Linked DNA regions of Xenopus tropicalis. Each later gene encodes a partner of the first gene's protein in a complex. Links are inferred from orthologs where the notes say so. Each region holds a gene or a part of one and is shown in the gene's direction. Other genes may lie near its edges.

Evidence for each region.
Region 2: the proteins of ercc6l (region 1) and bend3 are in contact, whole or in part, in a crystal structure (PDB 5JNO), measured with the Homo sapiens proteins. The link is inferred for Xenopus tropicalis from reciprocal best matches to the Homo sapiens genes ERCC6L and BEND3. Residues at the interface, in NP_060139.2 of Homo sapiens: Ala10, Glu11, Ala12, Leu13, Ser14, Pro15, Glu16, Ala18, Ala19, Tyr21, Leu22, Arg23, Lys26, Phe51, Pro52, Asn53, Glu54, Lys55; in NP_001073919.1 of Homo sapiens: Glu252, Gln255, Ile256, Gln259, Leu261, Asp265, Arg269, Val272, Gln273, Pro276, Phe279, Ser280, Phe335, Arg338, Phe339, Gln342, Glu346.

Annotation. Positions count from the first base shown.
Region 1 is NC_030684.2:39,733,491-39,737,993, reverse strand, and holds the start of ercc6l (DNA excision repair protein ERCC-6-like), read left to right. Parts: upstream 1-1,437; 5' UTR 1,438-1,540; coding exon 1,541-1,635; intron 1,636-4,503. UniProt on the Homo sapiens protein: DNA helicase that acts as a tension sensor that associates with catenated DNA which is stretched under tension until it is resolved during anaphase. Functions as ATP-dependent DNA translocase. Can promote Holliday junction branch migration (in vitro).
Region 2 is NC_030681.2:79,031,595-79,035,412, forward strand, and holds part of bend3 (BEN domain-containing protein 3), read left to right. Parts: intron 1-271; 5' UTR 272-277; coding exon 278-344; intron 345-2,592; coding exon 2,593-2,795; intron 2,796-3,818. UniProt on the Homo sapiens protein: Transcriptional repressor which associates with the NoRC (nucleolar remodeling complex) complex and plays a key role in repressing rDNA transcription.

The DNA of each region.
Region 1 (4,503 bases):
AACTTTAAAATTAAATGTGCCCTGTAACTGGATTTAACACGCCATTATTTACAATAAATGTCATTAACTAATTCCTCCCGTGTAGTTCTAGGATGCTTTTTCACCTTTCTCAGAATCATTGACACCCCACGAGGTGAGATCTTGCGTGGAGCCCCAGAGCGAGGTCGATTGATGGTCATTTTGTGCTCCTTCCATTTTCGAACAATCGCACCAACAGTTGTCACCTTCTCTCCCAGCTTCTTGCTAATGGTTTTGTAGCCCATTCCAGCCTTGTGCAGGTCTACAATTTTGTCTCTGACATCCTTGGACAGCTCTTTGGTCTTTCCCATGTTGGAGAGTTTGGAGTCTGCTTGACTGATTGATTCTGTGGACAGGGGTCTTTTATACAGGTGACTAGTTAAGACAGGTGTCCTTAATGAGGTTGACTAATTGAGTAGAAGTGTCTAACCACTCTGTGGGAGCCAGAACTCTTAATGGTTGGTAGGGGTTCAAAAACTTATTTCACTCAATGAAATGCAAATGCTATCTTTTATTTAAAGTTATTTTTTCGATTTTCCTTTTGATGTGCTATCTGCCACTGTTAAAATAAACCTACCATTGAAATGATACTGTTCTGAGACTTTTCATTTCTTTGTCATTGGACAAACTTACAAAATCAGTGAGGGGTCAAATAATTATTTCCTCCACTGTATATAAAACTGGGTACTTTATTTATAGCCTAATAAGACAACTGTGTGCATATAGCGTTAGCCTGTTTTAGGGGTTAGCGCAGTGATCCCCAACCAGTGGCTCAGGGGCAACATGTTGCTCCCCAACCCCTTGGATGTTGCTCCCAGTGCCCCCAAACCAGGTAGTTATTTTTCCTGACTTTGTGGCGTTCTGGTTGAATAAAAACAAGATTTTCTACCAAATAAAGCCCCCTGTAAGCTGATAGTGTGCATAGAGGCTGCCTAATAGCCAATCACAGCCCTTATTTGGCTCCTCCATTAACTTTTATGATGCTTGTGTTGCTCTCCAAGTCTTTTTACATTTGACTGTGGCTCACGAGTAAGAAAGGTTGGGGACCCCCGGGTTAGTGTAGGTTAAGCCCTACTCAGGGCTCCTAAATAGTTAATAATTATGAAACTAAGCCGCTCATACTGCGATACAGTCCCTCTTACAACACTGCTAGCCTTCACACAGCCCCTGCCTCGCCTCTCAAACCTTGTTTTCGGCTCCATAGCAAAGCTGCCCAAACTACTCTTCACCCCACACACACACACACTGGCAGAACCTCAAGAATGCCAACACTTCTCTCAGACACTCAGCGCCACCCTAACGTTACAGCGGCCAGCTCCAAATATTCAACCGCAGCGAGGTATGACCCCTAAGTGAGGCCTGAGTATGCCTTCCCGTCTCTTGTAGTTACGTCACGCATAGCGAATACCTGGAACGCAGTGACCCCGCCCCCTCCGCGCTGCATTCTGGGTAGCTAATTTGAAAGCGAAGCGGGCTTTAGTGTTTCCATTCTGCCGCGTAGTAGTTCCTGGCATATCCAGCCATGGACGGGGAGGAGAGGCCGTCGACTGGCTCGAATGAACCGGGAGATCTGCACAGGAGCCGAGTGGAGCCCGAGCAAGTAGAAAGATATGAGCTGTAAGTAGTTAGAGGAAGCGCTGTATTGTCTGTATAACCTGCCTGCAGACTGAGTGAGTGGTGCTGTCTGGGCCGCCATAAAGAGACCCTGTAGCCAAGTGCGCATTGTGTTCCTCCTTAGTAACATGTTGGGCTTATCCATTGCCGCCCTGGAGTCTCTGCCCCCTGTGTGTGTGATGGGCATTTATATGGGGCATTTATATGGGGCATGTGGGGACAGCTGAGCGGCTTGGCTTGTATGGGGAGCCCAGAAATCAGTGCCTGGGGATCTGCCCTGGGGGCCAGCATGGCAGGGGCAAATGTACATACATATTAAATTGCCAGTCAGTATTTCCGGGATGGCCAGGTTGTATCAGTCAGTCAGTCTGTCTGTCACTACCCAGCAAAAGGGCCCCCCCTGTGTTCCTTTAGAGATAGGGGCCCCCGTGTTCCTTTAGAGGTAGGGGCCCCCCTGTGTTCCTTTAGAGGTAGGGGCCCCCCTGTGTTCCTTTAGAGGTAGGGGCCCCCCGTGTTCCTTTAGAGGTAGGGGCCCCCCGTGTTCCTTTAGAGGTAGGGGCCCCCCGTGTTCCTTTAGAGGTAGGGGCCCCCCGTGTTCCTTTAGAGGTAGGGGCCCCCCGTGTTCCTTTAGAGGTAGGGGCCCCCCGTGTTCCTTTAGAGGTAGGGGCCCCCCGTGTTCCTTTAGAGGTAGGGGCCCCCCGTGTTCCTTTAGAGTCAGGGGCCCCCCGTGTTCCTTTAGAGTCAGGGGCCCCCCGTGTTCCTTTAGAGTCAGGGGCCCCCCGTGTTCCTTTAGAGTCAGGGGCCCCCTGTGCAGCCCTGCCTAGCTGGGCATTATGTCCATGGGGAGGGGAGACATCTCTCTCCTGCTGCTGGGATCTGTGAGTTCTGCCTTGGGCCTTACCCCACTTGTTTATTTTATTATAAAGCAGTGATCCCCAACCAGTGGTTCGTGAGTAACATGTTGCTCCCAGTGGCCTCAAAGCAGCTGCTTATTTTTGAATTTCTGGTTAGGAGGTAAGCTTTGATTGCATAAAAACCCAGTGTAATTGCCAAACAGAGCCTTCTGTAGGCTGCCAGTCAACATAGGGGCTACCAAATAGCCAATTATAGCTGTTATTGGCACCCCAGGAACCTTATTCATGCTTGTGTTGTCTCCAAAGCTTTTTCCATTTGAATGTTGCTCATGGGTAATAAAGGTTGGGGACCCCTGTTATAAAGGGTGGATTATTGTTTATTTGTTTGGTTCTAAAAGGAAGGTGGGAAGTTCACTGTTAGTGACTTAATATGTTATATATGGATCAGTTCTGAACAACCTGTCAACCGGTTGGGGTAGCGGTTCAAAAAGTTCTTAAAAGTAGGACTAATTGCAGACTGACAGAATAATGCTCCCTGCATCATACTAACATTTTATTCTAATGGCATTGCCATATTTTGAAGGTTTCTGGATTATGAATATCTAAATTGTAAATCTCATACCTGTGTGTATATGTGTAACTATAATGGTGGCAATAAAAGGGGACCTGTCACCCTAAGAAATAATTCCAGATTGCTTTCAATTGTGTTTGTCAAGCAAAATAAACTTTACTTACAACATATAAGGTAGTTTAATCTTATTTTCTTTAGCCTTCGAATTCACAGTTGCAGAAAGCAGGCAGGTGCCATTTTGTGGAAACTGTTATTAGGTCAAGCTTTGCATCCTGCCAAAATCTTGTTTCTGTGCCAGTATGGGGTGACCTGATACCCATACCCATGCACTGGTTACACAATGAGATTGTGAGGAGGGCAGAAACATCTAAGAAGTTCTGAATTGAAAGTGAAAGTAACTGCCAACCCCACCTCTATGCCTAAGGCATAGAGGCGGGGCAAGCAATAAATGATTGACAGTTTGGATTTTTAAATGCTTTTATAATGGGTATGGATGTGTTAATAATAAAATGCGTTTGGGGTTCATATTTCATTTGAAATGGGCTTTTATTATACAGCTTTTTATGCCTGGATGACAGGTCCACTTTAAAAGGGAAGGAAAGGCTAAGTCACTTGGGGGTGCTAAAATGTTAAGCACCCCCAAGTGACTTGAATCGCTTACCTCGTACCCCGGGCTGGTGCCCCTATTAGGAGAAAACAGCACCAGCCCGGGGCACCTGGGGCGATGCGTTTCCTCCTTCCGCCTTCCTTTCCCTGAGACTCCAAGTCCGACGCGTGCGCAGTAGAGTGAAACGCCGACTTCTCTGTTAAAGTTCGGCTTTTCACTCTACTGCGCATGCGCGCGCAGCGAGGGAGGAAGGAGGATGCGACTGCTGCTACCCCGGGCTGGTGCGGTTTTCTCCATACAGGGGCACCAGCCCGGGGTAGAAGGTAAGCGATCTAAGTCACTTGGGGGTGGATAACATTTTGGCACCCCAAGTGACTTAGCCTTTCCTTCTTCTTTAAGTATAAACTGCTTAAAGTGGACCTGTCACCCAGACATAAAAAGCTGTATAATAAAAGTCCTTTTCAAATTAAACATGAAACCCAAATTCATTTTTATATTAACACATCCAAACCCATTATAAAGGCATTTAAAAATCCTAGCTGTCAATCATATATTGCTTGCCCCGCCTCTATGCCTTAGGCACAGAGGCAGGGCAGACAATAACTTTAGCTTTCCATTTAGCACTACCTAGATGTCACTGCATATCTCACTTTTCCCTTCCCTCCTCATCATCTAATTGTGTAGCCAATGCATGGGCATCTGGTCCCCCATTCTGGCACATAAACAAGATTTTGGCATGATACAAAGCTTGTCTTTAATAACCGTGTCCACAAAATGGTGCCTGCCTGCTTGCTTGGAATTGAGTAATTCCAAGACAGAAGGAAACAAGATTTATATTA
Region 2 (3,818 bases), on another chromosome or scaffold:
CTGTATGCACATACGCAGAGGATTATTGATAAAAAAAACGAAAATGGCAGCACCAGACTCTGCAGAATGAACCCTGGGCTGGGTGCCAGCTCAGTGTTCCATATGAAAGATTAGTATCATTGGGGTGTCTAATAAAATGGCACCCTCATCAAGTGATTTGGCATTTGTTATCCTTTAAGTGCATGTTTTTCATTGATGAATTGTTAGGACTGACAGTTGTTGTACTCCGCACTGTGCATGCCTGATCTTCTTATTGTATTTTATCTTGCAGGGAGGTATGAAAATGAACCCAACTGAATTCCGAGAAGATAATAATAATAATAATGATGATGACGATAAAAAAGGTATTGTTCATCAAATGTTAACTACTGCTTTAGGTACCAAACTTCTAATTGGCTTGGCAAATATCAATACTGAAATTATTTTCTAATTAATGCAAAAAATAGTCATCTTTATGTAATGAGTAACGCCCCTTCCTAATTGTATTATATTTATCTCTTAAGGGAACTGTCAACTTCTCTCTCATTTTTATCACTTCCTTTTACCCTTTCGGTTCTAGGGTTTTTAAGACTAGATTCCCACAAGCAACCTTGCATTGATGTAAATTTGCCATAATGTGTATTTAAATCTCATATAGAAATTTCAATAGATTAACTCTATAAATCAATGTAATAAACCTGTTGTTGCTGATACACAGCCAGACTATTTTATAATGTCTATGCTATTGCTCTTGTTTAAAGGGGAACGCTACGCTTAGTTTTTAGTTATTTAGTTTTAAATATTGCGAGGCTAAAGTATATTTGCTTTTCCTATAGCGTTCATATAGTTGTTAGGCTGACTAGCTGAAACCTCCTTTATTACCACCCACCATTCTGTTTTGTTATAATCCCCTTGTGGCCTGACATAATTTTGTGTGCAGCCAGCTGAAAACAGCCACTCATGGCTTTATAAAGAAATGTACACAGCATGAACACTTCCCTTATTTTATTATAGCCGGCATAGCTATTCTTTATTCTAGGCACAATCCAGCATATGTATTTAAAGGACATGTAAACCCCACAAATATGTAATCAGTGATCAGCCTCTTTGAAATCTTTCAATACATGCCACACTGGTTGTCCAGAGATTAATAGTAAGGCTGCAGCATCCCCTTAATCACTTAGATTTGCTTCTCCTCCTGTAACCCACTCGGCCGCCTCCCTCAGGAATTTGCTTTGATTCCTGGCTTGCCAGACATGCTCAGTTGTTCTAAGCTCAGATTACTAAACACGCCCCCCAGTCTAGCAGCCAGTGAAGAGATGGCATTACTGGTTCCCATAGAAACTCTGCTCTAGCTGTCTGCTTCCATTTTTTTCTCCTGAGCTCAGCTTTACCATTACAGTGCTCAAACAAAAAGTTTTGCAGAACTTTTATCAGAGACAGTTTTGCCTGTGTGAACCTGCATTCTTGATTAAATGTATGCTGAATAGAGGTCTGTGTGTGTATGCTCTTTGCAGATTTAAATGTAACTGATTATGTATGTATGATTATGAATGCAAAATGGCCACTGGGAGAAAGCTACCATTTTTCACAGGAAAATGTTATGGTGGTAGCAAGCGGAGGGGGTATATGCAGTACAAATGATGCCATTTGGGTGGGGGAGACATGCCCAACTGATATACATTGTAGGAAAATGTAGGCTTTACATGTCCTTTAAGGGTACAGAGGACTGGTATATCAAGACCTGTAGATGATACTGAAGTTCTGATGTTGTCTTATTGGTTGACCTCTGGTGTCTGCAACTGTTGTAAGCCCTCTTACTTGGTTCTTGATCTGCAGACATCATATCTTAGGAAACTTTACCATTACACATTGCAGATCTCTTTAAAAAATGAATGATTTAGCCCATATGTAAAACGATTCAAATACATAAAGCCTTTTCATGAAAATGATATTATTCTTGTAGCACGTTCCACTCGTATGAGGCTCTCTGCTCACACAAAAGGCAAGGGCATACATACATGCTAAGTTAAAACAGCCAATAAATGGTTAGAGCTATTGTTTTGCACACACACTTCTTCCTATTACAATCAGAGCCACATTATTTCTTATAGTTATTACATCAGAAGATTTGTCTGTGTTTTGGCTACTTTTGTTTGTTCTGCATTTTCAGATGAGAGCAACGTAGGAATGCCATGTCTGAGGGAAGAATTCAATATAAACTTTTGTTTTTTCACTTGGAAAAATCAGTGTTGATAAATACATGTTTTTTTTGTTGCACAGTTTACATAAAGATACTAGTATTATGCATTTGGTGGGCAGAGTGCATAAGAGGCTTAAAATACTTGCAGAAAGTGCTTACTGAGGTGGTCAGTAAGGCAGAATCATGTGTCATGAATGTATTGGGTACACTTGTACTGTAATGTAATGTAAAGCTATAATAATAATAAAGTTATATAATAAAAGTTATAAATAAGGAAAATATTCCCATTAATAAGAGAAAAAATGCATTTCCCAATGTAATATTCTTCATGTACTGGAATCCATATAATATAACAAGTACCTGTTGTACTCCTTTAAAATTTGTTTTTTCTGTATACTTTTTTCTTACAGTGAAAGTAAAAGTGGAGGCATGCCATGAAGATGATTTGCTGGACTGTTCAGGTGCTGTATCTGGAAGGAAGCAAGTGCCAGACTGCATATTTGTTGGGCAGCCTGAGCCCAACAAAAGAAAACAAACTTCTTTTATTTGCGATGGTCCAAACAGTGAGCCTGAAACTGTAACAACTGTAAAAAAAAGACGACTTATTCCAGAGGTGAATCCTTTTTTTTCTTTTTTCAGCAATAAACCAAGGACCTGTGCTGGTCTCTATAATGCTTTTGGAATATCTTTTATTGACAGAAAACATTGCCAGGGTACTGTAGTACATATACAGTATATATTTTATATTGTAGAGAGATGACGGCACTCACAGGATTTACACGATTAGGAGTCAACGGGTCAGCAGTATCATAGATAAACCAAAATTCTTTTAAGGTTTTTATTGATCCAACGTTTCAGTTCCTTCCGGAGAGTGTATATATATATATATATATATATATATATATATATATATATATATATATATATGTAAATAAAGACACATGAGAGTTGATTCACTAAAGTGCGATAAAACGAGCGCTATTTATAGCATGCGTTAAAAAATTTATTGTGTCTTAATGCACGATTCACTAAAAGGATACTTGCGTTAAATTAGATGCGATGTTGTTTGCGTTATTTAAGTTGCAAAGACTATTTTTGTGCGGCATTTGATGCAACGCGTGCTAATTAACAAAGCGCACCACTTATCGTGCGCACTAATTAACGCACGTGCACTACTTATCGCGCACACGCCATATTAGCCATACACATCATTACATTCGTAAAACTACTTTTCTGAAAATGATCATTTCCCTGCAAACTGGAGGATGCATCACTCTAGGGCCATGCATACTTCAATAAATCACACTGCAAAGTCCATATTGTGTTGCCAAAACTCATGAACTGTACTTTTCTATAATTACCGCCTGCCCTAAGTAGGTGTTAATTTTTGCACAGACTAATGCGATATTTAGCGCGTCTAAGTGTTTGTGAATCATGTGTTAATATTATTTCTGCGCGCTAATTAACACATTCGGTTGCACGCTATTTAATGCATGCGATAATACTTTATCGAATTGCGCACTTTTTTTTTTTCACGTCAATTTTAACGCAAAAAAGCTTGCAATAACGTTAAATAACCCTATGGTGCCTTTTGTCACCACGTGAGATCACTTCTTGCATGTGGAATAAAACATCT